Linked DNA regions of Arabidopsis thaliana. The protein of the gene in region 1 interacts with the protein of each later gene in a pairwise test. Each region holds a gene or a part of one and is shown on either strand. Other genes may lie near its edges. The genes, in order: PAB2, CID12 and CID8.

The links.
Region 2: the proteins of PAB2 (region 1) and CID12 interact in a two-hybrid assay, tested with the Arabidopsis thaliana proteins (one study listed by BioGRID).
Region 3: the proteins of PAB2 (region 1) and CID8 interact in a two-hybrid assay, tested with the Arabidopsis thaliana proteins (2 studies listed by BioGRID).

The regions. Positions count from the first base shown.
Region 1 is NC_003075.7:16,330,472-16,341,062, forward strand, and holds PAB2 (poly(A) binding protein 2), read left to right. Parts: upstream 1-5,819; 5' UTR 5,820-6,260; coding exon 6,261-6,528; intron 6,529-6,761; coding exon 6,762-6,880; intron 6,881-7,067; coding exon 7,068-7,724; intron 7,725-7,813; coding exon 7,814-7,891; intron 7,892-7,966; coding exon 7,967-8,056; intron 8,057-8,323; coding exon 8,324-8,461; intron 8,462-8,695; coding exon 8,696-8,866; intron 8,867-8,968; coding exon 8,969-9,118; intron 9,119-9,202; coding exon 9,203-9,421; 3' UTR 9,422-9,843; downstream 9,844-10,591. Other genes in the region: CER9 (RING/U-box superfamily protein), read left to right, coding at 119-454, 709-1,392, 1,499-2,260, 2,353-2,564, 2,644-3,012, 3,172-3,332, 3,416-3,579, 3,673-3,819 and 1 more. UniProt on the Arabidopsis thaliana protein: Binds the poly(A) tail of mRNA. Appears to be an important mediator of the multiple roles of the poly(A) tail in mRNA biogenesis, stability and translation. In the cytoplasm, affects both translation and mRNA decay.
Region 2 is NC_003075.7:6,551,000-6,561,590, forward strand, and holds CID12 (CTC-interacting domain 12), read left to right. Parts: upstream 1-5,982; 5' UTR 5,983-6,336; coding exon 6,337-6,705; intron 6,706-6,873; coding exon 6,874-6,984; intron 6,985-7,073; coding exon 7,074-7,118; intron 7,119-7,189; coding exon 7,190-7,262; intron 7,263-7,347; coding exon 7,348-7,460; intron 7,461-7,555; coding exon 7,556-7,615; intron 7,616-7,704; coding exon 7,705-7,821; intron 7,822-7,927; coding exon 7,928-7,989; coding exon of another isoform or gene 7,990-8,020; exon of another isoform or gene 8,021-8,083; coding exon 8,084-8,144; 3' UTR 8,145-8,603; downstream 8,604-10,591. Other genes in the region: AT4G10603 (S locus-related glycoprotein 1 (SLR1) binding pollen coat protein family), read left to right, coding at 1-33, 627-835; AT4G10613 (RNA-directed DNA polymerase (reverse transcriptase)-related family protein), read left to right, coding at 10,040-10,480. UniProt on the Arabidopsis thaliana protein: Binds nucleotic acids in vitro.
Region 3 is NC_003070.9:20,025,530-20,036,120, reverse strand, and holds CID8 (CTC-interacting domain 8), read left to right. Parts: upstream 1-4,501; 5' UTR 4,502-4,877; coding exon 4,878-5,177; intron 5,178-5,453; coding exon 5,454-5,567; intron 5,568-5,658; coding exon 5,659-5,703; intron 5,704-5,780; coding exon 5,781-5,853; intron 5,854-5,951; coding exon 5,952-6,064; intron 6,065-6,165; coding exon 6,166-6,225; intron 6,226-6,305; coding exon 6,306-6,353; intron 6,354-6,461; coding exon 6,462-6,530; intron 6,531-6,654; coding exon 6,655-6,716; intron 6,717-6,798; coding exon 6,799-6,859; 3' UTR 6,860-7,198; downstream 7,199-10,591. Other genes in the region: AT1G53660 (nodulin MtN21 /EamA-like transporter family protein), read right to left, coding at 175-287, 381-640, 820-1,081, 1,158-1,270, 1,357-1,391, 1,484-1,591, 1,982-2,143; AT1G53655 (uncharacterized protein), read right to left, coding at 2,620-2,730, 3,335-3,364; AT1G53645 (hydroxyproline-rich glycoprotein family protein), read left to right, coding at 7,534-8,688, 9,067-9,216, 9,310-9,495, 9,607-9,687.

The DNA.
Region 1 (10,591 bases):
AGACGACGCCTTTCCTCTTAGCTCGGCGTTATCAGACTCACCGAGTCGACTCGCTCCGCCGTTGCCGTCTCCGTTACCACCGTCTGCGCAATACGTAATTCATAGCCCGGATTTCTCTATGGAGATTTCCCCGGCCGATTCGTTGTCCATCTCTGGCGCGGCTGCTTCTGAGGTCGTCTCCGAGCCTTCCGTATCTTCTTCTTCTTCCTCTTCCTCGCCGAATCAGGCATCACCCAATCCTTTCTCAAACATGGATCCTGCAGTTTCGACGGCGACAGGATCGAGGTACGTTGATGATGACGAAGATGAAGAGGACGTTTGCAGGATCTGCAGAAATCCTGGTGATGCAGACAATCCGCTTCGGTATCCGTGTGCCTGTAGCGGAAGTATCAAATTTGTTCACCAGGATTGTCTCCTTCAGTGGCTTAATCACAGCAACGCTCGTCAATGCGAGGTTTTGTTTCTTTTCCTCTTTATTATTTGATTGTTGAGATTTTGAAGATTCGTATTCTAATTAAGATCTGGATTCGTGTTGATTTGAATGCCTTTTAGGAATTTTGATATGGGTAAATGAATGGGCAATTGCATATTTCTGTGTGCTCATATTCAACGTTGACAGTTTAAAGTCTTCTCTTTTAATATGTGTTTCTTAAGTAGGAGTTCCACATAGAAGAGAACACGTGCTTATTGTTAATTTCATCTCTGCAGGTTTGCAAGCATCCTTTTTCATTCTCCCCAGTATATGCTGACAATGCTCCGTCAAGGCTCCCTTTCCAGGAGTTTGTAGTTGGCATTGCTATGAAAGCTTGCCATGTTTTACAGTTCTTTCTGCGGTTGAGTTTTGTGCTTTCTGTCTGGCTTCTCACTATACCTTTCATTACATTTTGGATATGGCGTTTGGCTTTCGTGCGAACTTTTGGTGAAGCTCAAAGGTTGTTCTTAAGCCACATCTCCACCACAGTAATTCTCACTGATTGCTTGCATGGGTTCTTACTATCTGCAAGTATTGTCTTCATCTTCCTTGGAGCTACTTCATTAAGGGACTACTTTAGGCACTTACGAGAGCTTGGGGGACAAGAAGAGAGAGATGATGATGTGGACAGAAATGGTGCTCGTGCTGCAAGAAGACCTGCTGGACAGGCTAATAGGAATCTTGCTGGAGAGGGGAATGGTGAAGATGCTGGGGATCAGGGTGCTGCGGTTGGTCAGATTGCTAGAAGGAATCCTGAAAATGTTCTGGCAAGGTTGGACATACAAGCAGCTCGTCTTGAGGCTCAGGTTGAACAGATGTTTGATGGGTTGGATGACGCTGATGGTGCAGAAGACGTTCCATTTGATGAGCTGGTTGGAATGCAAGGTCCAGTGTTTCATTTGGTTGAGAATGCCTTTACTGTAAGTTGATGTTTCTACTTTTTGGCAATGTATATTTTAAATTCTATGTTCCTTCTTCTTCACTATTGGCCCTTATTAAATCTTCATGATGTGCATAATTTTGCAGGTTCTAGCAAGCAATATGATATTCCTTGGTGTTGTTATCTTCGTGCCCTTTACCTTGGGACGGATTATATTGTATCACGTGTCATGGCTTTTTGCTGCTGCTAGAGGCCCTGCTGTGGCTGCATCATTGCATCTTACAGATACCGGACTCTCATTGGAAAATATTACTCTGAAGAGTGCGCTGACTGCTGTCTCGAATTTGACTAGCGAGGGCCAAGGAAATGGGCTGCTTGGTCAGCTCACTGAAATGATGAAAGTCAACGGAAGTGAATTGAATGGAGCAAACAATACGCTATCAGTTGCTACTGATCTCCTGAAAGGTTCTACTGTTGGGGCCTCAAAGCTTTCTGATATTACAACTCTGGCTGTTGGGTACATGTTTATCGTATTTCTGGTGTTCCTTTACCTTGGGATCATTGCACTGATTCGATATGCCAAGGGTGAGCCACTGACTGTTGGAAGATTTTATGGTATTGCATCTATAGTAGAAGCTGTACCATCCCTCCTTAGACAGTTCTTGGCAGCAATGAGGCATCTGATGACCATGATCAAAGTTGCCTTTCTTTTGGTCATCGAGCTTGGGGTCTTTCCTCTGATGTGTGGTTGGTGGCTAGATGTTTGCACTGTTAGGATGTTCGGTAAAACAATGTCCCACAGGGTACAGTTTTTATCAATTTCTCCTCTGGCAAGCTCACTTGTTCATTGGGTTGTTGGAATCATGTACATGTTGCAAATAAGCATCTTCGTCAGCCTTCTTCGAGGGGTACTGTGTTGTCCCTACTCATTTTCATTCTAGAAATAGTTTTTTTCGCTGCTGCTATCTAAATATATCTTTTCACTTTGTGCCAATTGCAGGTTCTTCGTCCTGGAGTTCTGTATTTCCTTCGTGATCCAGCAGATCCTAATTACAATCCATTCCGAGATTTGATTGATGATCCAGTGCACAAGCATGCTCGGAGGGTACTGTTATCAGTTGCAGTGTATGGAAGTTTGATTGTGATGCTGGTATTTTTACCAGTCAAACTTGCGATCCGGATGGCTCCTTCAATCTTTCCACTTGACATATCGTAAGAAATATTGACTAACCTCTTGTTTTTGGAGATTTTGTGTTTGATTAGGTCTTTCCTAACTTGGGCATATATGCAGTGTATCCGACCCATTCACTGAGATTCCCGCCGACATGCTTCTGTTTCAAATATGCATTCCATTTATCATCGAGCATTTCAGACTTCGGACCACAATTAAGTCCCTTCTACGCTGCTGGTTCACTGGGGTTGGTTGGGCGCTTGGTTTAACAGACTTCCTCTTGCCAAGACCAGAAGACAACATTGGTCAGGACAATGGAAATGGTGAACCAGGAAGGCAGAACAGAGCACAAGTGTTGCAGGTCGGAGGACCTGACAGGGCCATGGCTGCGCTTCCAGTAGCTGATGACCCTAACAGAAGTCGCCTCCGTGCTGGGAATGTCAACACGGGTGAGGAATATGAAGATGATGACGAACAATCTGATTCTGAGTAAGTTCTTACTTTAAAAATAAGCTAATAGCTTGTTTGATATTAAGAATTTTGGCATACTTGAATAAATTAACAGGACTTTTCGCTTGGTATATAGAGTTGACTAAGTACTTTAAGACTCCCATTAGGGCTTCCCCTGATATGAATGTATATTTTTAGCAGGTACAACTTTGTGGTCCGGATAATTCTCCTTCTACTTGTTGCATGGGTGACTCTTCTTCTCTTCAATTCAGCATTGATAGTTGTGCCAGTTTCGCTGGGACGTGCTCTATTCAGTGCCATTCCCATTCTTCCAATAACTCATGGCATCAAGTGCAATGGTAATGTTTGTTAATTTTGATCTTCTGAGTCATTCTTTGGCACGGGTTACACATTATTAACAGTATTCCCTAAAAATATGTAGATCTGTATGCTTTCGTCATTGGCACATATGCCTTTTGGACTACCATATCTGGGGCCAGGTATGCTATCGAGCATGTCAAGTCAAAGAGGACTTCAGTCTTGCTTAACCAAATATGGAAATGGTGTGGGATTGTATTCAAGAGCTCGGTGCTGTTAGCCATATGGGTAAGTGTTTTGTGCTGTTAAATTTTCAATATACGAGAAACTCTAAACTCTACTAAATGTGGATTCTGTACTTTTCAAATGGTGATTGAACAGGTTTTTATCATTCCGGTGCTAATTGGACTTCTGTTTGAGCTTTTGGTGATTGTCCCAATGAGAGTCCCAGTTGATGAAAGCCCTGTGTTCCTCCTGTATCAAGACTGGGCTCTTGGGCTCATCTTTTTGAAAATCTGGACTAGACTGGTAAGTAATTTTCTCCAACAATCAGCAACTTATTTCCGCAGAAGAAGATATTTTGTCACTAAAAAACAACGTCAATGGACAGGTAATGCTGGATCATATGCTTCCAATAGTGGATGATAGCTGGAGAGCAAAGTTTGAGCGGGTAAGAGAAGATGGCTTCTCGAGGCTTCAAGGGTTATGGGTACTTAGAGAGATTGTGTTCCCGATCGTCATGAAACTCCTAACGGCTTTATGCGTGCCTTATGTGTTGGCAAGAGGAGTGTTCCCAATGCTCGGATATCCGCTTGTTGTGAACTCAGCGGTCTACAGATTCGCGTGGATAGGTTGTCTTTCAGTGAGCCTCTTCTGCTTCTGTGCAAAAAGATGCCATGTCTGGTTTAGAAACCTTCACAACTCTATCCGTGATGACCGTTATCTCATTGGTCGGAGACTGCATAACTTTGGGGAAGCTGCTTTAGCTAATCAAAACCAAAACCAAAGTAGTGAGGATGCAGGAGATGGTGTCTTGATAGGACGAGAGGGAGATGTTGATAATGGACTTAGGCTCAGACGTGCAATCCAACAAGAAGCTTAGAAAGAAACTGTGCACTGAGGCGTTTAACATTTTGTGTACTTAAGCCGTTAAGAGATGGCTTTGAAAGATTTATTATTAGTCGATGTGTAAATTATTATATCCGTTGATGATTCTCTTTTTTTTGTTTTTGTGTACGAAACTAAAAGATCTTTAGAATAATGCTTCGTTTGTCCATATGCCTTGTGTGTTTCTATGATAATGCTTCTAGAATACCTTCGCTTACTGCAAATTCTTGTCTTTTGTCTCTTATGTTAGTGCATGTAAGCCTTAAGGAATTGGCGTTGAAGATCTATTTGGCCGATGTGTGATTGTAGACATACTCGTTGATACTGTTTTTGGTTTTTTATTTTCCAACAGAATAAAAATAAGAGGAATGTTATAACCCCATTAGATAGATGTCCATATCAGGTTCATCTCAGACCCATATGCTTCAAGGGTTATGGGTACTTAGAGAGATTGTGTTCCCGATTGTGATGAAACTCCTAACGGCTTTATGTGTGCCTTATGTGTTGGCGAGAGGAGTGTTCCCAATGCTCGGATATCCGCTAGTAGTGAACTCAGCGGTCTACAGATTCGCATGGATAGGTTGTCTCTCAGTGAGCCTCTTCTGCTTCTGGTTTAGAAACCTTCACAACTCTATCCGTGATGACCGTTATCTCATTGGTCGGAGACTCCATAACTTTGGGGAAGCTGCTTTGGCAAAACCAAAGTAGTGAGGATGCGGGAGATGGTATCTTGATAGGACTTTAGGGAGATGTTGATAATGGACTTAAGGCTCAGACGTGCAATCCAACAAGAAGCTTAGAAAGAAACTGTGCACTGAGTCGTATTAACTTAGGCTTGGAAATATTTACTAGTCAATGTGTATCCCGTTGATCCTCTTTTGTTTGTGTATAATATCCAAAGGATCTTAAGAAATGAGTAATGACGCTTCGTATATATATATGCCTTGTGTGTTTCTACTTTCTATTGTAATGCTTTTTGAAATGATTGCGTATTGCAAAATCTCATCTCTCATCTTATGTTCTTTCGTGTCACAATTCTACTGGAAGGCCAATCGTGTATTAAGTTGAATTGTTTTGATAAGTCAAATCTTAACATATTGGTTATTTAATTAAGATACTTTTTGCATACCATATAAAATCGTGCGGTAAATATTAATATTAACAACTTTTACTTTAGGAAAATCAAAATTCATCAAGATCCAGTGAGAATATTGCTAATCAGAGTTAAGAAATGTTAAGATAAATCAAAGAAAATATCATCACTGTACAAAATTTTAACAAACTTGGTTACTAATTAGATTCGAAAGTGTCAAACACGCGCGTATCTGTTTGACTTTTCCGAAAGTGACGAGAAGGAAGACGACCTTATCAATTCACCAGCAACTCTAAAATCAATCCTACGATTTACTTCAGACTCGATCCAACGGCTGAGATCAATCTCACACTCCTAGGGTTCTTCTAGGGGAATTAAAGGTTTCTTTTTTTTGTTGGGTTAATAATATAAAAGCAAAGAAAAGGAGAAACCGTAATGCTTCTTTTTCATCTATCGTAATTGTGCTTGTTTCGCCTAGAATCTCTCGGCCCCCAAATATCTCACTCGCCGTCGCAGGCTTCGCCGCCGGCAATTTCTTACCCTATTTCATCTTCCCTCTCCTCTGATATACCCATAAAAACACAAAAAAAACGAAAAGATAAAAACTTTGGCTTTAGTTTTGTTGATTTTGTCATTCGATTCGATTTCTTTTTCTTCTTTCAAATTCTAGGGTTTTCGATTTGGTTTCAGTCTAATAACGAGAGGGGAGGGAAGAGTAACTAAAACCCCAAAAAAAGTCAAAAAAGTTTCGAAAATCCAAAAAAAGATAATGGCGCAGGTTCAACTTCAGGGTCAGACTCCGAATGGTTCGACCGCGGCGGTCACTTCTGCTCCGGCGACGTCAGGTGGAGCAACGGCGACCCAGTTTGGTAACACGTCGCTTTATGTGGGGGATCTCGATTTCAATGTGACGGACTCGCAGCTTTTCGATGCGTTTGGCCAAATGGGTACTGTGGTCACCGTTCGTGTCTGTAGGGATTTGGTCACTCGCCGATCTCTTGGCTATGGATACGTTAACTTCACCAATCCCCAAGACGGTTAGTCTCCTTAATTTTATTTGGACTTCTTCTTACAATTTCCAATTTTTAGGGTTTGCTCGATAGTACCAGTACTGGATTTGAATGAGGTGTGTTTTAAATGTTGATACTTTATGGTGTTTGTATGTATGCAATGTGGTTGGTGCTGTTGGAAAGCTTATCCCCTGCTTAATCAATCTTTTTAATGCTACTTCTGTCTTCTAATGGTACTTTATCTCGTGTCTTTGTTGCAGCTGCAAGAGCGATCCAAGAACTGAATTACATACCTCTTTATGGAAAACCTATTAGGGTTATGTATTCTCATCGTGATCCTAGTGTTCGCCGAAGTGGCGCTGGCAACATTTTTATTAAGGTACGCTTGTCTCTATCCTTCTGACATTTGAGTTGCTGTAAGACGAGATGATTGTTGCGAAAAAATTTGTATCTTGTATTATTCATTGAAAAGTCTGGCAAAAGTAGTTGATTTCTTTAGTTATGTAAGTTTTTTTATTGGGTGTTCTTTCTCTCTTTCTGATGCTAAACCTGGCTATAATATGCAGAATTTGGACGAGTCCATCGACCACAAAGCACTGCATGATACTTTTTCATCGTTTGGAAACATTGTGTCGTGCAAGGTAGCTGTCGATTCTTCAGGCCAGTCAAAAGGCTATGGGTTTGTGCAATACGCCAATGAAGAATCTGCCCAGAAAGCTATAGAGAAACTGAACGGCATGTTGCTCAATGACAAGCAAGTGTATGTGGGTCCTTTCCTGAGGAGACAAGAAAGAGACTCCACTGCTAACAAAACGAAATTCACCAATGTGTATGTGAAGAATCTCGCGGAAAGTACTACCGATGATGACTTGAAGAATGCTTTTGGCGAGTATGGAAAGATAACAAGTGCTGTCGTGATGAAAGATGGAGAAGGGAAGTCCAAGGGCTTTGGGTTTGTCAACTTTGAAAATGCTGATGATGCTGCTAGGGCTGTGGAGTCTCTCAATGGGCACAAATTTGATGATAAGGAGTGGTATGTTGGTAGAGCCCAGAAGAAGTCAGAGAGGGAAACAGAATTAAGGGTCCGTTATGAACAGAATTTGAAGGAAGCTGCAGACAAGTTTCAAAGTTCAAACTTGTATGTTAAGAATTTGGATCCTAGCATTTCAGATGAGAAACTTAAAGAGATCTTTTCTCCTTTTGGTACCGTTACATCTAGCAAGGTTCAATGTCCCTCTCTCTCTCTCTTTATTTGTAGTGAGTTGACTCTCCTAGTTCATTATTTAAGAAGTTCTTTTATTAAATATTACAGGTGATGCGGGATCCTAATGGAACAAGCAAAGGCTCAGGTTTTGTTGCTTTCGCAACTCCCGAAGAAGCAACTGAAGCTGTAAGTCAGTTGTATCGTCTTGTTGATTGTATTTATGAGGACTTTGATTGTTAGTAACAGTGGAATACTGTACAGATGTCACAGTTGAGCGGTAAAATGATCGAAAGCAAGCCACTCTATGTGGCTATTGCACAGCGGAAGGAAGACAGAAGGGTCAGACTACAGGTTTGCTTCTCTTGGAATCACCTCGTCTTGTGATACACTTACTACTCCTACTTTGCCTGTTGGAGTTTCAACTCTAAACAATTGGACCCATCATGTACAAGTCTTAGAATGTCCCACTGCGTATAATTATCAATACTGATGCTGATTCTTCTTTATAATCAAGTGCAACAATATATAAAGCATAAACAACATATGTCCTAGTATTTTTGTATCACAGAAAAATCTCTTTTTTCTCCTGCTGCTGAGTATTTGCATTGATGTGAATAGGCTCAGTTTTCCCAAGTGAGGCCAGTTGCAATGCAGCCGTCTGTTGGTCCCCGCATGCCAGTGTATCCCCCGGGTGGTCCTGGTATTGGACAACAAATGTTCTATGGTCAGGCCCCTCCTGCCATGATTCCTCCCCAGGTAATCTTCATGTTACTCTACTTTAAGTAGCCGTGTACGATTTTACACAAAGATATGCACATGTTTATTTTCTACCTTGGGTATAATGAATTACAAGCTGACAGATGCTTTTAAGTCACATGAAAAGTTTTTAAATTCTTTAGCTCTATAGTTGCTATACTCATACTTGAGCCTTTCCAAATCTATTTTGAAACTGCTGGGATAATATTAACCTGTACTTATGCAATGCCACAGCCTGGGTATGGATACCAACAGCAGCTTGTTCCTGGAATGAGACCTGGTGGGGGTCCTGTACCCAGTTTCTTCATGCCTATGGTTCAGCCACAGCAGCAGCGTCCTGGAGGAGGAAGACGTCCTGGGGGAATCCAACACTCCCAGCAGCAAAATCCCATGATGCAGCAACAGGTTCTTCTCTTTTCCTTATTTAATTGCAATAAAGGCTGCTTTGCTTGCTTGGCTCTCTTTTAATAGTTGATCGTATGGTTTTTCTGTTTGGATGGTGGTTAGATGCATCCAAGGGGTCGGATGTTCCGGTATCCCCAAGGGCGTGGTGGTAGTGGTGATGTGCCTCCATATGATATGGGCAACAACATGCCATTGACTATTGGAGCTTTGGCTTCAAATCTGTCTAATGCTACTCCAGAGCAACAGAGGACGGTGAGAGAATCTCTTAAAAACCAAATAGAGAGACTGGTTTTGCTTGGATTATAATAATGTGACCCTTTGGGTGTGTTTGTACAGATGCTGGGTGAGGTGCTGTACCCGTTGGTGGAGCAGGTTGAGGCAGAGTCTGCAGCCAAAGTGACTGGGATGCTTTTGGAGATGGACCAGACTGAAGTGCTCCATCTGTTGGAGTCACCAGAAGCTCTCAAGGCCAAAGTTGCAGAGGCTATGGATGTTCTCAGGAGTGTCGCTGCTGGTGGTGCAACCGAGCAGCTCGCTTCCTTGAACCTCTCTTAAATTGCTTTTTATCATTTGATCTTTGGCTTTTGTCTCTCCCATACAATTGGAGTTGTTTCTTTGCTATTCGTTTTCTCCCTGGGAATTTGGATTCCTCCACATAACTGCGTTTGTGTTATTTTAAACCTTCGTTTTTAAACCACAAAGGAAAAACCTATCTGCTTTGTTCTTTTGATTTAGTTGCGTGTTCTAGCTTGTTCGATCTAGTGTTCACGGAAGATGAATTTGATTACCAATAAGGCCAATGCTGGTGATCCCCCTCTTTGGCCTTTTGACTGTTGGTGGTTGTTGCTTCTAGTCATTTTTTTTACCAGTTTTTCAAGCTCTATTTTATGGTAAAAAGGTGTCCTGGTAAAAATGGATGAATGGGTCTCATTCTCAGCAGACAATGTTTGAATGAGAAAGAAATACATTTTAAACTTTTTATACACTTTGCTTCTAGATTGATTGGGACTAGTCGAATAGAAATCTTAGTAGAGGTCTAAGGAAACATGATACACATCTTGTTTGGTTGAAATCTTACCATTGTTTTTGGTTTCAGTTATTGATCTGGTTTTTGGACTACTTTTTCTGCAACTATTTGAGAATGAGAAATTACTTACCAAAAAAAAGAAAGTCTTCATCTACGCCAAGGATTTAGAATATTCGTACATGAATTTTGATTTCCAGTACATTGCGTCATGAACTATATAGTCTACTTGTTTTTTTTTGTATCTATTTGACATGCAGCAAAGCCAGCAACACATCTTTTATTGAGTCTGATGATATTTGTGAACTAATTCGAAAATATTTAAAAGATTCGAGTGTATGAAAGGTTTAACTATTATCAAAATCTCTAGATATTTCAACTGATGGCAACACTCAACAATCTCACAATCACGACATAAAAATCCAATAACACTTGAAACCAAAAGAGGGTTCAAATTAGGGTTTCTTGTTAAATCGAAATTGGACTTTTATTTATTTATTAACATCTGACTTTTGAGTTTTGACCAAAAAAAAAGATGGAAAATATCGCTTTGAAATTGAGGACCCAAAGGAAACGTAAATATGCCGACCAATCAACCATATACCAAAAATTGATATGTGGCTATGTCCCCACCACCACCACCTATCATATCACAAGTTCTCTCTACTTTTCTCCGAATTTTACCACCCAATCAAAACGCT
Region 2 (10,591 bases), 9.8 Mb from region 1:
CAGTTCTAATTCTTTTTGTCATTCCTCTGCTAGGTTTGTATTTTCATTTATAATCATTTTTATATGTAATTTTTATTTATTTTAAGTTAATTATTTTGAATAAATTCTTTAAAAAATCTGTTCAGCAATATTTATATAATATGTGTCATAATTAATTTTCAATTAAAAATTTCATCATATTGAATTTAGGACTTTTATGGAAATTTCATACTAGAACTAGAAAATTAATACGTAACTATTTAGTGCTAGACCTAGAAAATTGATAGCCAAACAGTTTTTTTTAACAATATTTTCACCTATTTTTCAATTTAATTAGGTAATTTTATGGTGATAATATATTAAGAAGAAGTATTGTGATATAATCTGATTGAACATATACGTTAATATTGTTTTATTGCCTTTTCATCATCCATTCATTTTCTTTTCTTTCCACATAGATAAATGTGCCATGATAATTGTTTTCATAAACATTAAATACATATATCTTATATTTATAAGTAAATTTTTATGACATTTGAACTACCTCAATGTTAAACTTACAATTTTTGCTATTATAAATTTTTTGGAAACGTCTATATTTATAAGACCAAAAAAAAAACTAATATTTCATCTTTAATATATAACAGTAACAGGATTGATGGATAGTATGCCACAAAGACACCCGGTAGAAGGTTGGTGCAAAAGGCCTCTACCTAACCAAAAACCAGGACCATGTAATAACGACCGTTGTTCGGCTAGGTGTAAGGAGCAGAAGCAATTTGAGTTTAAAGGGGGCAAGGCAATGGGTATTTGCTCTAGTGAAAATAGATGTCTTTGCACTTTTCGTTGCCGATAATTTTGATGCATTTATTTATTTTAAAATAATAATCATTTGTTTTTCTCCTTTTCTGACATCCAAAAATCATTTCATATTCCGTATTATATAATATGTCTTATTAAAATCAAACAAATATTTGTCATTTCTATTAGTGTTATTACCAAATTCTTGTATGGATTAGTGTGTTGTAGATGATAAATTTTATTATTGTTATAAAAAAATAGATTACCTAGAGTTGCCAAAAGAAAAAATATTACTTAGGATACTGAAGAAATAAAAGAAAGTTAAAAGAAAATTTCATTCTCAAAACCTTTACGTTTTAAATTGAGGATAAAAGTTACTCAAATAAATTTTTATGAAAAATATAATTAATTTTATGAACGATTACTTTTATCTTACATTCAATTTTTTTTTTACTTATAATGTACAATATATGAATAGCAGCCAATGATTTTAAATATTAATGAAATGTCTTCAACATGAGACATAATCCGCATCAAAAATACAAAATCATTTTTTTGCCAACTACAAAATCATAAAGCACAATAATGGGTGTAATTGTTTTGTTACGATAAATTAAAAACAATGTATATAAATATATATATATTTGTACATTTTTGTGCAAGGTTTGTATTTGTACTTATGATCATTTTAATGTTACATATAGTTCTGAGGAATGATTCGCATATGACTTGATCCAACATAATTCCATCGTGATTTTTTCATCATGCATTCATTTTTTTTTTCATGCTACGTAGAGAAATGTGCCAAGCATGGAGTATTTGGTATAATTTTAACAGGAGCATGGAGCATGGAGTATTTGGTATAATGTAGAATTAGGTATTCAACTGACTTGCTTTTATTGATTTACTAATTATGGTATTTATACACAATGATCTCTATCAAGAGATAAACATAAATTCCTAAAATATAGGTTAGAAACTCTATCACCAAAGATATTGTACTAATCCTAATCGGATTACACATATTCCCAATACTCCCCGCACGACAAACGTGATACGCAAAACGCAAACTTTGCAATCACAAAGCGGAACACGTATGTCGTGGACAATATGTCGAGGACGGACAAATCATGTCAATAAACATCTTAGGGTATAAACTTTATTCTTGGGGTGGAACTTCATCTTGTCTTCGATCTTGGTAAAAGGGAATACATCCCGTGTGCGCAAATTATGCTGCTCCACAAACAATCGTCCTTATCTTGGACGGTCCATAACTCGGATTACACATGACCTAAAAAACATGAGTGTTCCATAAACTCTACTAATGGCTAAACTATAACCAAACTCCCCCATAATGGTAAAACTATTACCAAACTCTCCCACAAGAAATGTAACAACATAAACAAAAAAGAAACTCTGAAATTTCTCTTAACTTTAAAATAATTCTAGAAACATAAAAAGAAAAACCAAAACCAATCCTATTAAAAACATAGGAAACCAACGATCACGTAACCTCCATCCCTTAACATGCCTACGTTTTCGTCGGCGTCACCGTCTTCTCCTTCAGTGATCACTATCTTCATGATTTTTTTTCTTGATCACAAGAACTTTAATGCGGAAGCTTTAATTCTTATCCACAAGGATCGACTGCTCTGATACCATGTAGAATTAGATATTCAACTGACTTGCTTTTATTGATTCACTAACTATGGTATTTATACACAATTATCTCTATCAAGAGATAAACATAAATCCCTAAAATATAGGTTAGAAACTCTATCACCAAAGATAAGTACTAATCCTAATCGGATTACACATATCCCCAATATATAATTTTTTCATTATAAGTTTTATTATATGTTATAATTTTTGAAAAAAAAAAGAATGTTTGTTATAATTCTCTTCCTCCAAATACTTTGGTGAGGTTTACGATAAGATTGTTACGTTCAATCCTTGCTCTGAATAAGTTTTGGTTCGTGTTGTTTAAATTATTCAGTACTTAACTACTAAACTAAAATCATGTATATGTGGATGCGAAATATTGTTTTCGTATTTTTTTTTCTACGGTGATTTCAATATTGGTAGCTATATAATCTTTGTGTTTAATGAACTTAAAGTACCAAAAAATTACAAGTGAGTTTTCGGTAAGGAACTCAGATTATTTACATCTCATTAATCTATTTACATTAATTCGTGATCTTCTGTTTACTACGGAGTTTGGAGTATTTCAAAATGTTTTCTCTAGCTGTATCTTCACAAGATGGGCTTCCCGATATGGGCCTCTCAAAATATATTTTGTTTTTGTTTAAACAACCCAAATGTAGCTTTTTTCTTGTTTAAACCCAAATTGTATTTGTTTTTATTTTCTAACAAAAGAGAAGTATTTCGGGTGATACCAAATAACTTTCGAAGGAAAAAGACAAAACATAAAATGAGATTTGGTATTTTGGTGGTTGCTAGGAAACTAGAAGATGTCTAGTACCATGATTCGATTTCCGGAAAATAATACAAGACAAGAGTTTGGTAGCTATTGCGTCGATAACATAAACAATTAGGCAGCATTTTAAACTAAAAGAATAATCTAAAACCACTATTTTCAGCTTTGATTCCAAAAACACAATAATTCTTTTAAGAAGATGTACAAAAATTCGAAAAAACTAGGTAGATTTGCTAAATTTATCCCCAATAATTACAAAACCAGATACCAAATCAAAACACATGTATATTATTTCCGAACTGGTTCGGATTAATTGATTTTCAACTCATAGAAACAGCATAAAACATAGGGGTAATTAGAAGAAGAAAAATTATGGTAATGTAAATTTAAAATAATGTAGACAAAATCAATTAAGATGTTGTATTTGTTTAATTCTTGACCGCCACTATATGTAAAGCCTATTCTTGTTCGACGAGCAGTTTGCTATTTTTGAAGGCTTTAAAGATTTGTTTGTCGGTCTTCAAAAATTATATATGATTCTTTTTTGTGTTTTGTTCTCATTCAAACACTACCGAAAATCACTTTCCGGTAGATCATCTATCATGAAATTGCTCCAGCACAAACATGCTTAACTGTAAAGTTTTTTCGATATGTTTAATCGAAAAGATAAGTGCATTTCGTGGATATAGATGATCTAATTAATTTTTAAAACTCTTTTCATTCACTACTATATATCCTGAAATCGGGATGTTACAATTTATTTCTGAATTTTTTTAAGTGTCTCCTACATAACTAGATATGTTACAACCACTATGGATCTTATTTCTAAAAAGTATTGAATACATCATGTCTAAATTGATTAATTCTCAAATATACTACATTTTATGCTATTTTCTGTAACTTCCATCAGAATCCAAAATTTTTTTTTAACATACCATAAATTTTAATTTTATGATTTATGAAATATTTATAGATTTTATTATTTTAATATTTTTAAAAAAATCCAAAATAATAGTATCTTTTTAGCTAAAATTTCTTTTACTGTATTTTAGGATATTTCTCTATCTAATTGTACACCATACATATAACCATAATTTGGTGTAATTCAGATTTAAATTAGGATGACATCAAAATTAGTCAAAATCAAAATAGCATCTCTATTTTATTCTTATACTTCCAAGGAAAAAAAATAAAAGAGCTTTAAACGTGTCGTTATAGCTGTAAAGCTGGTGATGGAACTGGTAAGTTGGTAACTGCTTCGACCACCGTACGAATATGGTGGTTACTGGTTAGGCTACACGGTAATTTCTTTTATTTACCTGCAGTGAGAAAGGTAAATAATAATGAGTGAGAGAGTAATGGATAATTCTGAATTTGTAATGTCATTGTCATTGTTTTGTCAGTAAGTGATGCTTTAGTTAACTCATGTTTATCCATATGGGCCATTCTATGTTTCATATATATATATATATATATATATATATATATATAATATGTTATTTTACTTTTTATAATTTTGATTCTTAGTCTTTATCAGAAAAGAAAAAGAATTGATTCTTAGTTCTTGGATTTATGAAAAGTAAATAATTATGTGCAAAGAGATTCTTTGATAATTTTTCAATATAATAAAATATTAAGAATATTATTTAAAAAAAAAAAATTGAGGGAAGAGATTCATTTGATTTTACGAAAACGCTAAAACGAGATGGATTAAATGTTAGCCTTTTTCATGACAAATATGTTGTAAAGCATAATCATGTACAAGGTAAAATAATTTTGGGTTTTTAGTGTTTATGTCGTAATTCTATAATTTTTCTCAACTACTTTTTTCTTTGTATAATTTAGCATTTTTAATATCAAACACTTTTGATTCCAAATACAGTTTATTTTTATTTTCTTAAGACTACTTACCAAACACACATAAACGGTTTTTAATATCTAAAGTTACCAAATGTATGTATTTCAAAAAACAATCATCAGCAAATTTAGATGTTTTGAATTTTTATTAGAAGAAATGCATTGCATGGTTATAATTAGAAAATTAAAATAAAATATAAATCAGGATTATATGACCAAAAATTGTTTTAACTTTTACTTAGCATTTACACATAAATTAACAGAAATATAATATTTTTTAAAAAATAATTTTCTTATAATAAAAATTGTTATATTGAAATTCGAATATTAAGATTTGGCAAGTCGCCAAAATATAATCACACTCAACAAATTTATATTGTCTCACTAATTATCTGTTCATAATACATATATCAAATGTATAAATCTTAATATAATAAATTTTAAACTAATTTCAACTGTCATACTAAACAAGAGTTTATACAAGTCTTTACCTAGTGTTATACTCCCTCTGGAAATGTTAAAGCTTATTGTTTAAGAAAACATATTATACACCTAAAGAAAACTATGCATTCGTTTTGTGCCATGTGTTGTTTTACTAGTCGTGACTCGTGATTCTCCATATCATTACGTTAATCCCAACTCTCAACTATTATTATGTTATTTTTTACTATAGAATGGAAACTTGTAGATTACTTATATGAAGGTTGATTAAAATGTAATTAAAATCTGTATCTTTTTTATAAAAAAAGTCTCTTCATATATGTTTTAGTTGATGAGTGATGGACAAGTAAAAATAAATAAAATAAGTACATACGTTTTGTTTTAGTGATATAAATATATGATGCCAAAAATGTACATATATTTTCTGGATAAATATTAGAGTTGTAGATCCAGGTTTGCTATGATCTAGCTCTGTCCGAAAATTGCAGAGCGTGATCTTTTCTCTGTAGTACGACCGATTTGTTTTACTTTATCCAATCGTTTTAACTTTTTCACCACGGTTAAAAAAGTTAAAATCAGATCTCTAACCATTTTCTCAACGAACCTCGCTAATATTTCTCATTTAATCAAAATTTAATCACCATTAATCCTTTGGTTGATTACTCTTTTGTCCTCTTCTTCTTCTCTCTTCTCTTTCTTGGTGGCTCTCTTCTTATAGCCACTGTTCCCTTTTTCATTGTATTCCTCAAATCTCTTTACTTGATCGTTGGTTCTCTCAAAAATCAGATTTTTATTTCTGGGTTTTGTTCGATTTTGTGATCATGGCGGTCATTGAGAGCGTCGGAGCTAATACTACTGTGGAAGCTGGTGGTTTGATCTCGCCGTCGCCGCCGTCTTCCGTCACCAGTCAAGAATCAGGAGCTTCTTCTAACAACGATCACGGTGGAAATGGAATCCATGATGAGATCGGAGTCCACGTGGCGAGATCCGACGGTGGTGAGAGTTTTAAGCGTGATATGAGAGAGCTTCACGAGCTCTTGTCTAAGCTTAATCCTATGGCTAAAGAGTTTATTCCTCCTTCACTTACTAAGCCAGTTGTTAATGGTTTTAACGGCGGTTTCTTCGCCGTTAATAATGGCTTTGTTGCTGCCGGAAATTTCCCCGTCAACGAAGACGGTAGCTTTCGTCGGGTAAGAACATCTCTCTTCTCTCTTCTCTGTGATTTTGGGGTTTTGAATCAAATTGTTCTTTAGGGTTTTTGATGATTCTTCATTTTGGTTTCTCTGTTTCTTCTTGTGTGTGTTTGTGAGTTTTAAAAATCTCACCTTTATGTGTCAAAATGATTTGATTTGAAACAGAAGAAGTCGTTCGGACAACAAGGGAAACGGAGAATGAATCCTAGGACAAGTTTGGCTCAGCGTGAAGAGATCATAAGAAGAACTGTCTATGTGTCTGATATTGACCAACAGGTTTTAAAAAGTTTCCACCTTTCTTCAATTGTTCATTCTCAGCCTTTAGTGTATAATCACTTATTAGTAATCTTATTCTTGGGTTTAAGGTCACTGAGGAGCAGCTTGCTGGTTTGTTTATCGGCTTTGGACAGGTTTAAGCAACTTCTTAAAGTTCATCTTTGTTTGTGTTGTGTTATGGTGTTGACTGTATTTGGTTGTTTAGGTTGTTGACTGTCGTATATGTGGTGATCCCAACTCAGTACTTAGGTTTGCTTTCATCGAGTTCACTGATGAAGGTATCATTAGTTTCTCTATGTAATCTGTTTATTGGATAATGCCTGTAAGTGCTTGGTTTATGGTTTGTCATTTTGGGACTTGTAGTGGGTGCAAGGACTGCTCTGAATTTGTCTGGGACGATGCTTGGATTCTATCCTGTGAAGGTTATGCCGTCTAAGACAGCTATTGCACCGGTTAACCCAACCTTCTTGCCAAGGGTAAGGTTTTTTCTTGTGTTTCATCACATTCTGACTGCAAAGTTATGGTTTTTTAGACTCAAGAGGTTTGATTTTAGTCCTGTCTTTGTTCTTAGACTGAAGATGAGCGTGAGATGTGTGCAAGAACTATCTACTGCACTAACATTGACAAGAAGGTGACTCTCACTCGAATAAATTGGTTTCCTTTGCCAAACTATTCTGAAACTTAATGTTGCTAACTTTGCTTAGTTTCACTTTTCAACAGCTCACTCAAACCGACATTAAACTCTTCTTTGAGTCTGTGTGTGGCGAGGTGTACCGTCTGAGGCTACTGGGCGATTATCATCATCCAACTCGCATCGGCTTCGTGGAGTTTGTCATGGTAAGCAAATACTTCTGTTATCTCTCTTTCTTCCAACCTTCCATTTGTCAACTATAACGCTTATGCATTTTCATTAGTTAAGTATGATCTTTTCACTCTTCCGCAGGCTGAAAGCGCGATAGCGGCTCTCAACTGCAGTGGTGTCCTTCTTGGTTCTTTACCGATAAGGTCCAAGAACAAACCAACACTTACTCTTTAACATTCTCTCTAAATTGATCATCAATCTGAACATTGATCGTACTTTGGTGGTTGGATTTTGCAGGGTGAGTCCATCAAAGACACCGGTTCGTTCCCGTGCTATCCCGCGACATCAAATGCATTAACCGTAGCTACAAGTTTTATATATATTTCTGCTCCTCACAGACATGTAAAGAATGTTTGTCTGAAACTTCTGGTTCTTCTGTTTTCCCGTATGTAATGCTAGAAGCTTGATGATGCTTCTGTTGCCTTTTGCTTTTGGGTAAATCTCTTAGGGAGAGTTTTTTCGATTTGGGTTCCTACGTTTAGTAGTTTACACAGAGCAGAAGAGTAAAACACTGAGAGAGGCTTTTGAAGATTGTCTCTGTTTTTTAGTTATTTATACTCTTACCCCTGAAGTTATTAGAAACTTGCTTTGGTGCTTAAAAGTTTCTTCTACATTTTAGAGTTATGCATTTACATTATTGTCCTTCTTTGTTTTTTTTAATTGTTTTCGTCTTCGAGAAAAGTGTTAGGTACATGAAAGTCTGTGTTCTTAGTTGAACAAGTCAATTTCTATTTTCATTTTAAATTTCGGAAACGTGAATCATGTTTATCAGAAGAATATCAAGATTATAAAACTATACTAGTCACAAACATATTTAAATTTTAACAACAAATGAAGAATTTTGAGAATTTTAATTATATTTTCTTTGAGATATTAAATTTATAAATTTATGTTCAAAGTTTTTATGTTTTCATGTTAACGTCGGGAATCAAAAGTCGTCCTAGAAATAAATTATATAATTACCATAAACAATTTTGAATTTAATTATAAAAAAAGAGAATGAGGAATCTAGAAATTTATTGTTTTACCTTAAATTTTTGGATATTTCCCATGTTTAGTCTATGTTCGTAGTCAACTCAAAACAAAATCAAATTTCTGTTTTCGATAGGATTTAAATAAGAATTATCAAAAAACAAAATCTGAATAAAATAAAGAAAGGAATCTTGGAAATTTTTAAATTTTACCCTGAATATTTGTATTTTTTTCTTAAGTTTTAACTTTTCTTTTGGTTCTCCTTTCATCAGCAAACACATTAATATCAGTCAGACAGTCAAATTCTTGAATTGGTCAATGTTAAATTTTTAATTATCATGACAAGTAAACTTGCTCAGTTGTATTTTTAATCGAATGGTAAATAAACTTTAAAGGATGAAATTGTAATTTGCAAGTATCACACGTCAAGCGTATGTGGTGGCTAGTTGGACTTACACCAGTTGAGTTGATCCATCTTTGCGCATTTCGAGAGCGTCTCTGTCATCTCTAAGTAAAGCTTTGACATCTTTTGTACTTTCCAAAACATACAAAAAAAACAAAAAGTCAAAATTGTTGTAATTATATTACAATAAAGCAAAAGTGGCTTGGTCTGTTGTCTGCTTGCCAAAATCCGAAGGGGGGCTAGGCCTTCGAAGATTCACAGAGTGGAATGTTACACTTAGTCTAAAGCTCATCTGGCTCTTATTCTCTAATAGTAACTCTCTTTGGGTCGCTTGGCATAGACATTACTGGTTCATAAAGAAAAGATTGCAGGATACTTGGAATTGGAAGTGCCTCATACGCCTAAGACCACTCGCAGAACGTTTTATTAAGTGTTATCTTGGTAATGGGTTGAATGCAAGTTTCTGGAGGGACAATTGGTCTCCTTTTGGGCCACTGATTAAGTTTCTAGGTGAAGAGGGTCCAAGGAGATTGCGGATCCCTGTGGTGTCCTCTGTTTCTAAAGCTATTGTGGAAAATAGTTGGATTTTGCCATCACCACGTTCTGATGTTGAGCTTCAATTACACACTTACTTATCAACTATTGCCCTTCCATTGCAAACGGACTCGGCAGATTCCTATGGTTGGGTTGTTCAAAATGTGGATTGTAATGGTTTTTCTTCCTCTAAAACATGGGAGGTCCTGAGGAGAAGAGAAGACAAAAAGGATTGGGCTCCTCTTATCTGGTTTAAAGGTGCAACGCCTAGAAACTCATTTCATATGTGGATTTCAAATCTCGATAGGCTGCCTACTCGTGCGAGGTTGGTTTCTTGGGGTCTGCAGATCTCACCTCTCTGTTGTTTATGCTCTCAGTCTGTTGAGACCCGGGACCATCTTATTCTCACTTGTGGATTCAGTTCTTCAATCTGGAACATGGTGCAGGCTAGGCTTAGGTTGCAGCCTGTTCAGTTCAGAGTTTGGGAAAGCTTACTATCTTGGATCAAGTTAAGTACGGCCTCCTCTCCTTCCATCATTAGGAAGCTTGTTGCTCAAGCCACTGTTTGTGCTATTTGGAAGCAGAGAAACAACCTTTTGCATAACTTACAAGACATTCTACCGTCTATCATCTTCAAGAATATAGACCGTGAGATCATCAATTCCATCAACGCAAGGTGTCATCGGAGAAAGTTTAGATCGCTTATGAGATTGTGGATCAGATAGTTCTGTCTTTTGGTTATTATAATTGTTTGCTTCCTTGTTTTTTCTTTCTTTTTGCCAAGGAACCAAAGCTTTAGGTAATCAAAAATATAAATCCAACTCTATTTCATTTTA
Region 3 (10,591 bases), on another chromosome or scaffold:
GCCAAGAAATCCTTTAAAAATTGTATTCCCAGTTACACTCTCCTCGGACTTTCTGCTTAAGATTCCTTTATTTTCTGATGCTCCTAAAAAATTGTATGATAGATAACAATTTTCCTAAGTACAAAAATGGTTCTTTCTATATGTCATGTGTTACCTCTCTTATGTTGAAAAATGCTATAATGGGCCATCGGGTTTCTTGTCGGAGTTTTTCGGAGATTGAGAAACCAACGTTATGCTTTCACCGTTCTTTGGCTTATGGTTGTTATACGTAGCTACACCAACGATGGCTGCGAGTGAACAAAATTCACAAGATCACACTTTTAAGTCTTACAATCCAATGCTCAATTTTGTCTGAAATGGTAAACATAAGATGATCTTACCAACGGCATAACCAAAGAGATTGATGATTGTGAGTTTTGTCTCGGCAAAGAGAAGAGCTGAGACCAAAACAACCAACCAATCTTTAACCACGCCAGCAATTCGGATAGTAAGAGCACTTGTTCGAGATATCACAAGAAAAACCGACAAATTGAGAGCAAATGTACATAGCGAATTAAGACTCAAGACAAGAACATGAAAGTTCCATGTATCCATCTTCGACTTCTCAAGAAATATCCATGGTATGAACAAGCAAATCGCGCTGCAACACACACATCAATACAAGCAAAAAAAAAATTGGGATTCTTTTAAAAGTAGAAAAGTAAAAGTCCACAAAAGTTTAAAAAAAAAAAAAAAACTTTATTAAATTGGTGAATTTTATGATTTCTTCAAATTAAAAAAATAAATAATGAGAATAGGGTTCTTTGATTTTCACAATACCTGCATGGGCTCATGTAGTACATAAGAGAGAGTGGATTTAATTTGATGCCTTTCCTCTTAACAAGAATTTCCATTAAGATTAGCCTCAAGGCTTCTGAAACAATACCACCCATTTGGTAAACAACTCCAACCCAGTTGATGTTTAATTCACCATAAGACGAGACTAAAACGCCAAAACTTATGACTGACATTATCAAAAGCATCTTGCAGCTCATTATTTCAAGCCCAACACAAACTCCAAGTATAAACACAGCAACAGGCACTGCAAAAATATGATTCTTGATTATCTAAAATTTATAAGTAACGCAAATGAGATCAGGAAGAGCTTAAGTTCTTACTGATGGCTTTCAACATTTGGGAAAATGCAACAGTTATGTAGAGATAAGCAGTGTTTCCTAACCATAGAGTCATTGCAAACATTGCACCTATTGGAATAACTGATGTAACATATCTGAGTACATAGAGTGATGTTTTAGCTAAACGGTATTTACAACTCAAAAATAAATAAATTGCTTACAGAAACACTTTCTTTCTTACATTTCTAATGTCATTCCTTCCTCAACCTTCATGACCTTTTAACAAGAAGACTAATAATCAGAATTAAGCGTTTTTGTCTTATAAGCATTAAAGAAATTAAAGGTCTTCGTAATAACCAATGAGATACCTTAAAAACCTTCGTGAGGAGAAAACACAAAACAGAGGAAAAAGTCATGTGAAGTAATGTCAATCCAAGTGGATAAGGGAAGTTTATTTCCTTAGATGACAATACCCACTGCATCAGATTGAGTCAGAAATAAAAATTAGTGCTGGAAAAAAGAAACTGAAAGAAGCTAAAGAGAAATGGAATGAACCAAAATTTACAAAAGTTTGAACAGTAAAAAAGTTGTTTAAGCGAATAATCATTTGTGTAATGGAAGTACATAACTCACCATTGAACCATACATTTGAACCTACTGTTGTATTAACAAGAATTTTATTATTATTATATTTCTTGTCCAAAACCAAATCGCATTGTAACAGAACTTTACCAAGATTGTCAAAGTTAAAAGCTTTAAAATCTACTAATGTCCACCAGATCTAATAAAATCAAATCTTGAGCAAAAAGACTGCAAATAGAAAACATAGATCCAATAACATATGAATGTGAGATTTGACTTAAAACCTTATTGAAGAAGATTTGACCGCTAGAGAGAGTGATGTAGAGAAGAATGGAAGCATACGTCACATGTTCTTCTCTAAGAAAGCCTCTGATCCGACTTCGATCCGCCATTAGAGTCAACAATCGTTTTGGTCTCAAATCAGCAAAAGATATTGCGATTCTCATTTGGTATGTCTTCTTCTTGAATATTCAATAGTACCTCACTTTTCCATCTTCTAAGCAAACTCTTTAAAGTTGACTAAAAGTAACGAAGAAATTAGCGGATCCCTCTTTAAATAACTTCTTTTCTACGAAATCCGTTTTAATTTATAAAGATGGGTCGGGTACACGGGTCATAAACACATAATGAGAGACTATGGGCTTTTGTTGACCAGTAAAATTAAAGCCCAGTATAATATCATTATTTTTTTATTTTTTTTTTATATATATCATTATTCTTAAAAGGGAAATTTGCAAAATTGACTAACAAAAAAACTATAATTAAGAAACTAACCAACAAAAAAAACAGAGACATTTTGTATATAAACTATAATATATACTAAAGTACCCTTAACTATACAATCACCATCTCTTCTATGCTATTACAACCATTACCCTTGTAACCGTCATCATCATTGCATCCACCACTATTTCCACAAATGTCATACCATCATCACCATCACCACTGCAATCGTCACCACCATAGAAACTACCATTACGCTGTCATCTCTACCATCATCACCATTATTGCCGCCGCAATTGACACACGACCACTGCAACCACCAACACAAATATTACTACGACCTACACCATACACACCACCACCACCTTAATCACTTCTTCCTCTCTTCCATTGCTTGTTTCACCTCTCTCGCCTCTCATCTTTTTTTTCTACTTTAACTTAATTAAAACAGAACCGAACTATAGTTTTCTATTTTACTTTCAATTTTGTACCATTCTATTTGCTAGTTAGAACAAAAAAAAAATGAAAACGAAGACTCACAAGATCTTATTGAATATTTTCTGGTTTGATCAATATATAAAATTGAAAATCCTTAACACAAATTTAAACCCAAAATCGAATCGATTTCAATTCGCTTTAGGAAAGGAGAAAAGAGATTAAAAGTATATAAACATGATTTTGTCAGATTTCTAAAAACTGAAACTTGAGATGATTTCATTTAGTTTAATTATTTTTGTTTGGGTTCCATATATAGTATCTTAGGGTTTAGTTTTCTTAAATCAATAGATGTTTTTAAATTAGAATGGATTGATATAAAAAATTTAAATTTTCTGGAAATTTTCTGTTGGATGGAGAGAAGAGAAGAAGCAACGAAGAAGATGATGAATGAAAAAGGTCTGTTAAAAAAACATTACCTTTAAATCAATATCTGATTCACAATCCATTACCTTTAGAACATATAGAATATTACCTTTAGATCAATATCTGATCAACAAAACGAAGAAGATGATGAGTCATGGCAAATTGGAAAATAAGGAAATAATGCAGGGATAGACTTGTAATTAGTTAGAGTTTTTGGTTACTTGCTGAATTACGTAAATTATATGGCTATATTTTTAATTTTTTGTCCTAATATGGCTATACAGCTAATTCACCCTTCTTACAAAAACTTTTTTTTTTGGGTGCAAAATTCTTACAAAGCTTTGGTTAATCTTTTCAAATCCCCAACACACGAAGCTCTTATAGACCAACTCATTAATTTTAAACACTAAAACTCGTAATCTGAAGAAGTGAAGTGAGTTTAAATTTATGAAAACTCTAAATTTGTAATTTGAGTTTTGGTAAGAAATTGATAGTTTTTCTATGCAACAATAAAAAAATGCAAAACAAATTACACACTTAATACATCGTTGCAAAGTCTTACATTTTTTGTTTGTATTTTTTTTTCCTGACGAGAAACCATTCAAATTTTATATTAGAAAAACCAGAAAATTATCATATTGTTGTGTGGTTACTGTTATTAGGGATATCAATACAAAAGTAACTGCAAACCAAAATTGAAATGTAAAATAAAATAACAAAATAGAATAAAAGCAGATTATAAAAGTGGAACTATAAAATCCCAGCAATAGTTAAAAAATATATTAAAAAAAGGAAAAAATCCCCCAACGAATCCAAAGATTTATGGACTAATTATTATAACAATTGCTTGCAATTATGAAGAAAATAAAAGTTTATAAAATAATCAAAATTTTGTTGATGTGTCAAACTAACAGTATCTAAAAAATAACACATTTCAATGCAGTCCATATGAAAGACCACACCCTATCTAATATCCATAACAAAAATAATAACATTTTAACAATTATATTAAATAATAATATTAGTAATGTGTAATATATTTCTTAGCAAAAAAAGTGTACTAAAACTACTAAAGATTTTTTTCAATATAAAAAATGTAATAAACTGGTGTATGTGTAAAATATGTAATTATCTAAAGGCCCTCAAGAGGAACATAAAATAATAAAGAATCATAACTTTTCTTTTCTTTTTAATTTTACATTTGACGAAATTAATTAAGAAAAAAATCTTAGTCCGAAAAAAAAGAGAAGCACTCTTGTTAGAGAGTTTTGGTCTATTTGATTGAGCTAGAAAAAGGCCTAAGCAACAAACCAAAACCCATCATTCCTTCTTCTTCTTCTTCTTCTCATCCATCGCCACCTTCTGAAACCACCGCACTAGATTTATATATTGTCTACGATTAAGCATTCTCGTATTCTGAAATGGGTGTTCAATAAAACTCGATTAATCTCATCAAATTTTGCATCTTTTTTACGAAATTCGACTGAAGAGAGAAGGAAAAGTTCGCAACTTTTTCTTTCCTCTGTCTCTTGTTTTTTGTTGAATTGTGATCCTTTTTGTTGTTTTATATTTTTTTGGAATTTTCTGATCTAATTAATGGCTGCGATCACTGAGATGGCCACTGATTCAAATGACGTAATCAACGATGGTGGAACTGGAGACGGAATTGAGAAGAGCACGGATTCTAAACCGGAAATCGAATCGGATGACCTCAAACCCAAATCCAAACCGGAATATGATCAAATGAAGAAGCTTGTTGCCATGTTCAAGAAACTCAATCCTGAAGCTAAGGAGTTTTTCCCTTCTTACAAGAGGAATACTAATCAGTCTGACGATTTTGTGATTGCTATAAAGCCATCTGGTGAAGACAACAAAAAGGTTGCCATTAACCGGAGGGTACAATCTCTCTTCTGTTTCTGATTATATTTTGATTGGTAAAGTTTGGATTTTTGGTTGACCTCTAAATGAGGTTTCATTCTAAGTGGGTTTAGGTCTTTGTGCTGGAAAGTCTCTAGCTTGAAGTTTCATATAGAAAGTTTTGTTTTTTGATCTGGTTTGGTTGGCTAATAGTTACATTGTCAAGTTTTGCAACTCTTATATGATCGTTACTTAACATTTCATTAAGAGTTTTGGTAAATTGTCTGTTTTTTGTTTTGGCTTTGTGGATTACAGAGAAGAAACAACTATAACCAAGGGAGGAGAGTGAGGTTACCTGGAAGAGCTTCTAAGGCTCAAAGAGAAGATAGTATTAGAAGAACAGTGTATGTCTCTGACATTGATCAGAGTGTAAGTTACTTAAACCCTCTTTTTAGATTTTCAGAAAAAAGATTCAGTTTTTCAACATTGTCACCTATTTTTTTTTTTTTTTTTCAAATAGGTGACTGAGGAAGGCCTTGCTGGCTTGTTCAGCAGCTGTGGACAAGTAAGTTGAAATCTATAAGCTTTGTTACCGGTTTTCATCTTTTGTTTGTTAATTAATATTACATTCTTCTTCTGAAGGTTGTTGATTGTCGAATCTGCGGGGATCCGAATTCAGTTCTTCGCTTTGCGTTTGTTGAGTTTTCTGATGACCGTAAGTTAAAGCTATTGGATTTTACTTAATCTTCTTTACAAACAAAATTCAAGTGTCAAGTTTGAGTTACATTAGTATGAATTTGTTTTGAAAAACAGAAGGTGCACGATCGGCTTTAAGTCTTGGTGGAACAATGATCGGATATTACCCAGTTAGAGTCTTACCTTCAAAAACTGCTATTCTTCCAGTGAATCCCACATTTCTCCCCAGGGTAAAAAACAAGAAGTTCCATTTTTCTCAGCCTGCATAGTAGCTTACAGTTTTAGAAACAAAAATGATGGTTTCCACTATTTCCTTTGGTGTTTTATTCAGTCAGAAGATGAAAGAGAGATGTGTTCAAGGACCATCTACTGCACAAATGTTGACAAGAATGTAAATACTTTTTCTCCGTTAAAGTTTAGATTGCGTTTGCATACTTGTTCTCGGATTTGAGAGATTCCTATAAATTGCAGGCCACTGAAGATGATGTCAATACCTTCTTTCAGTCTGCCTGCGGTGAGGTCAGTCTAGAATCCGAAAACTTGCTTTTTCTGCTCTCATAAAGATAATATGAAATTTGTAAAACAACAATAACATTCAACTTTTTTCTATCTTCTCTCTCTGTACAGGTTACTCGCTTAAGGCTTCTTGGTGACCAAGTGCATTCTACTCGCATAGCTTTTGTTGAATTTGCCATGGTAAACTCCTGTTAAAACTCAGCTTCTGTGTCCTCTTTTGTTAGTGTTAACAAGTAAAGCTGAACTTTTCAAGGCTTAGTTTTTACTTAACAACTGAATATGCGTTTGTTTACGGGATAAAAAGGCAGAGAGTGCAGTTGCAGCGCTAAACTGCAGCGGAATAGTCTTAGGATCTCAGCCGATAAGGTACACACATTATTTCTCTTTTGTGACAAACCTTTCATTGAATATAAAAACAATTTGAAATGAAATCTTTTGAATTCTTCAGGGTAAGCCCTTCAAAGACACCAGTGAGATCGCGAATCACTCGATCACCATCGCCAAACTAGGAGAAAACAGAGGCTTTGTTGATGAAGGAGAGTGATGCAACAATATTCAGTTATTTATTCTTTTTCAGTTGTCTTTCTTTTTCTAGAGCAGTTGTTTTCCAATTATGTAGTTTCTGGAAAGACAACAACCATGAACATGCTTCTTGGATTTTGAGTTCTTGTTCTGAGTTCTTTGACTTATTGAGTCATATCATCTTTCTTTAAAGGTTTTTTTTTGATCATTTTTGTTGGTTCTTAACTAAAAAAGTTTAGAATTTAGGAGATTTTAGATTTTACTATTTATGTTGAAGTGTTGAACGCTTAAGTTTTGGCATAATCATTCTCTTCATAGGAGTTTTTGGGTCAATGGAAAAGTATATTTCATTTTCCGTCAGGTATCAAAATCCAGGGATGGAACTGCAAAATTAAATTTTGGATCATTTTCTTTGTAATGTGCTTGAATTTGGCCTAATGTCTATAACTATGGGGGATTTCGACAAATCGAAAAGTATAAATCTCTTCCCATCAGGTACTCAAACTACAGGGATGAATTTACAAATATGCAGCAATAAGTCAACAGAAACGGCGACGTTTCGGAAAACCCCCATTTTCCGATTAACACAGTAACTCAAAACCCTCAAATCCTCAATCGCCAGTGTTTACGAAAGTTCTTGAAATTTGAAGAGATCTCACAGATGAGAAGTGCTATAGGAAGAAGATTCTCAAACCCTAATGGCTTCACCATTGCATCCTTAGTCAAACAAACTCCATTTCTCACCCAATCCACATCTCATTTCTCCTCTTCCTCCGACTCCTCCGGCCGTGGTCGTGGACGCGGTTCCGGTGAAGATGGAGGATTTCCCGCCGCTGGAAGAGGACAATTCGGTGTAAATCGTGAACCGGTGGTTCCTGGACGTGAACCGTCATCTGCCGGAGGTTATGGTCATGGTCGTGGTCGTCCGATCCAATCTGATTCGATTTCTCCTGCGTTTACGTCATTTGTCAAATCAGATTCTCCTAGTATTGGCCGTGGAAGAGGATCCGTTGGATCAGACACCGTTTCACCTTTCGCTGCTGAACCTCCTCGCCAATCGCCGCCTCCACCGCAGCAACAACAGTCTCAATCGCAGCAACAGCGTTCACAACCACAACAGCAGCAGCCGCGTTCGCAACCACAGCAGCAGCCTAATGATGAATCTCAGGGAAGTCCTGTATTTGTGAAGCTGCAGGAGATGCAGGACGCAACTTCGTCTCCACCACCACCAGAGTCTAAACCTGGTCAAGCTGATCCACCTGATAACATATTCAATGCATTAGGAAACGAATTTTCACATCCTAGTGGAGCAGGTCGAGGAAAGCCTCTTGTGGAATCTGCTCCAATCCGACAAGAAGATAACCGCCAAATTCGACGCCCTCCGCCTCCACCGCAGCAGCAGAGAGTACAACCTCAGCAGAAGCGGGCTCCAACGGTCAAAGATGGAACTCCTAAGCCGCAATTGAGTGCGGAAGAGGCTGGAAGAAGAGCAAGGAGTGAGCTTTCGCGTGGTGAAGCTGAAGGAAGCAGTGTGGGAGGAAGAGGAGGGAGAGGGAGAGGGAGAGGAAGAGGAGCAAGAGGGAGAGGCAGAGGAAGAGGTGGTGATGGATGGAGAGATGATAAGAAAGAAGAAGAAGGTGAACAAGAGGCTATGCGTATATTTGCTGGAGATTCAGCTGATGGAGAGAAGTTTGCTGAGAAAATGGGACCTGAATTGATGAAAACGCTTGCGGAAGGTTTTGAGGAAATTTGCGAAAAGGCGTTGCCTTCTACTACTCACGATGCCATTATAGATGCTTATGATACCAATCTCATGGTAAATGTTTCTGTGTTTTATTTTCTCTATGAATTGTCTAGAAAAGTATACAACTTGCTACTGAGAATGGTAACACTGAAACTTCAAATAGTATTAGGAATATTGAATTCTCGAGTAGCAATAGTATTAGTATTGAGTCATACTCTATAATGTGGTAGAATTGGTTGTGGTGGCTTTGAAGTTGTTTGACTGAAATATGCACAATGTACAAAAGTAGGCCACCATCTCGTCTTGTATGATTTTCAGATTTATAATAGCCTCTATGGTTTTTGTTCTTTCATTGTGAAATCGGTCATTCAGTCAAAGGAGCGATGGAGAAAGTGCTCTTTTTGTTGGTTTTTGAGTCTCTTAGTTTTCTCTATCTATTTTGGTTTGCAGATTGAGTGTGAGCCTGAATACATTATGCCAGACTTTGGATCAAATCCTGACATTGATGAGAAACCACCAATGTCTCTGCGTGAGTGCCTTGAGAAGGTGAAGCCTTTCATAGTGGCTTACGAAGGAATCAAGGATCAAGAAGAATGGGAGGTAATAGTGTTCAATTTGTGAATTTGTTTTTATATGAATCGACGCAATATTTTGTTTCAGTTGATGATCACTTGAATTTCTCACTTTCTGCAGGAAGCAATTAATGAAGCGATGACACAGGCTCCCCTTATGAAAGAGATTGTTGATCACTACAGTGGTCCTGATCGTGTAACTGCTAAGAAACAGAACGAGGAACTCGATAGAATTGCTACAACGCTTCCCGCAAGTGCACCTGATTCCGTGAAACGATTTGCAGATCGTGCAGCTCTTACTCTTAAGGTTTGATCTCTTTAACTAAACACTCAAACTCTTCATCTAACATTACTCTCTTTCTATCAGATATCTCTAGAGAGGTATTGATGTTTTTCTGAAATACTTTTGGCAATGCAGAGTAATCCAGGTTGGGGATTTGATAAGAAATACCAGTTCATGGACAAGCTCGTTTTAGAGGTGTCACAAAGCTACAAATAGAGAACTCAGGTTTCAAACTTCTTAAAAAACTTCATCGCCGGTTGAGTTTATAGATCGTACTCTAGATCTTGCCTCTACTTAAAACGGTACCCATTTCTTTTGAACTAGTACTCAAAATTTGGGCGTTAGCTTTTTCGTCATACGTTTTGAGGGTTTCCGTAATAACGGCATTGTTCTTTCGATCTTTGTTACTGAGGAGATTGTATTGTATCCCTTTTCATCAATGGGTTATTAAGGGTTTAAGCCTGTTTTTGGATGTGTAATTGAAAAGAGAATGGTTCTTGAGTGTTGGTTCTAGTGTCTTATACATGCCGTAATAGAGAAGAAAAGAGAGAGAGAGTAGTGTATTTGTTCAATGAAATCTTATCGAATGAACAATTCCGTAAACACACATATGGTCACACTTGCGATAATTGCAGCTGCGGTTGTGGCCGCCGCTTCAACCGTAGCCATGAATAAATTACTTTCAAGTTTGAAGTACGAGTATTTTATTGAGTATGCTCCGAATTTCCAAAACGAAAATTCTTAGTTGATACATTAAAGAGCAAAAACCAAGAAATAAAATGTTGTGAAACGTAAGAAGTAATAAAAATCAATTATTACATTTTCGTAAGTATAATGGTCGATGGTAGTGATCAGTAATTAATTCGTTCTGTTTTGTATTAACTCTATTTTGGCTACTACGAGCGAGTGCGTTGAGAGAAATTGTGGTCAAAAATTCGATAGTGGTAGACTTATTGGACATCCAATAATGCATGTTGTATGTTATCCGAATATAGGACTACATTTATATCTCTATGATTTAGGAGTCTCAAAGTCCTTCCCGTAATTAGATTAAAATCACAAATTTCTGGTTTCCTTATTAAATGCTCACTAATCCCTCATTATGTCATATGCATCTTCC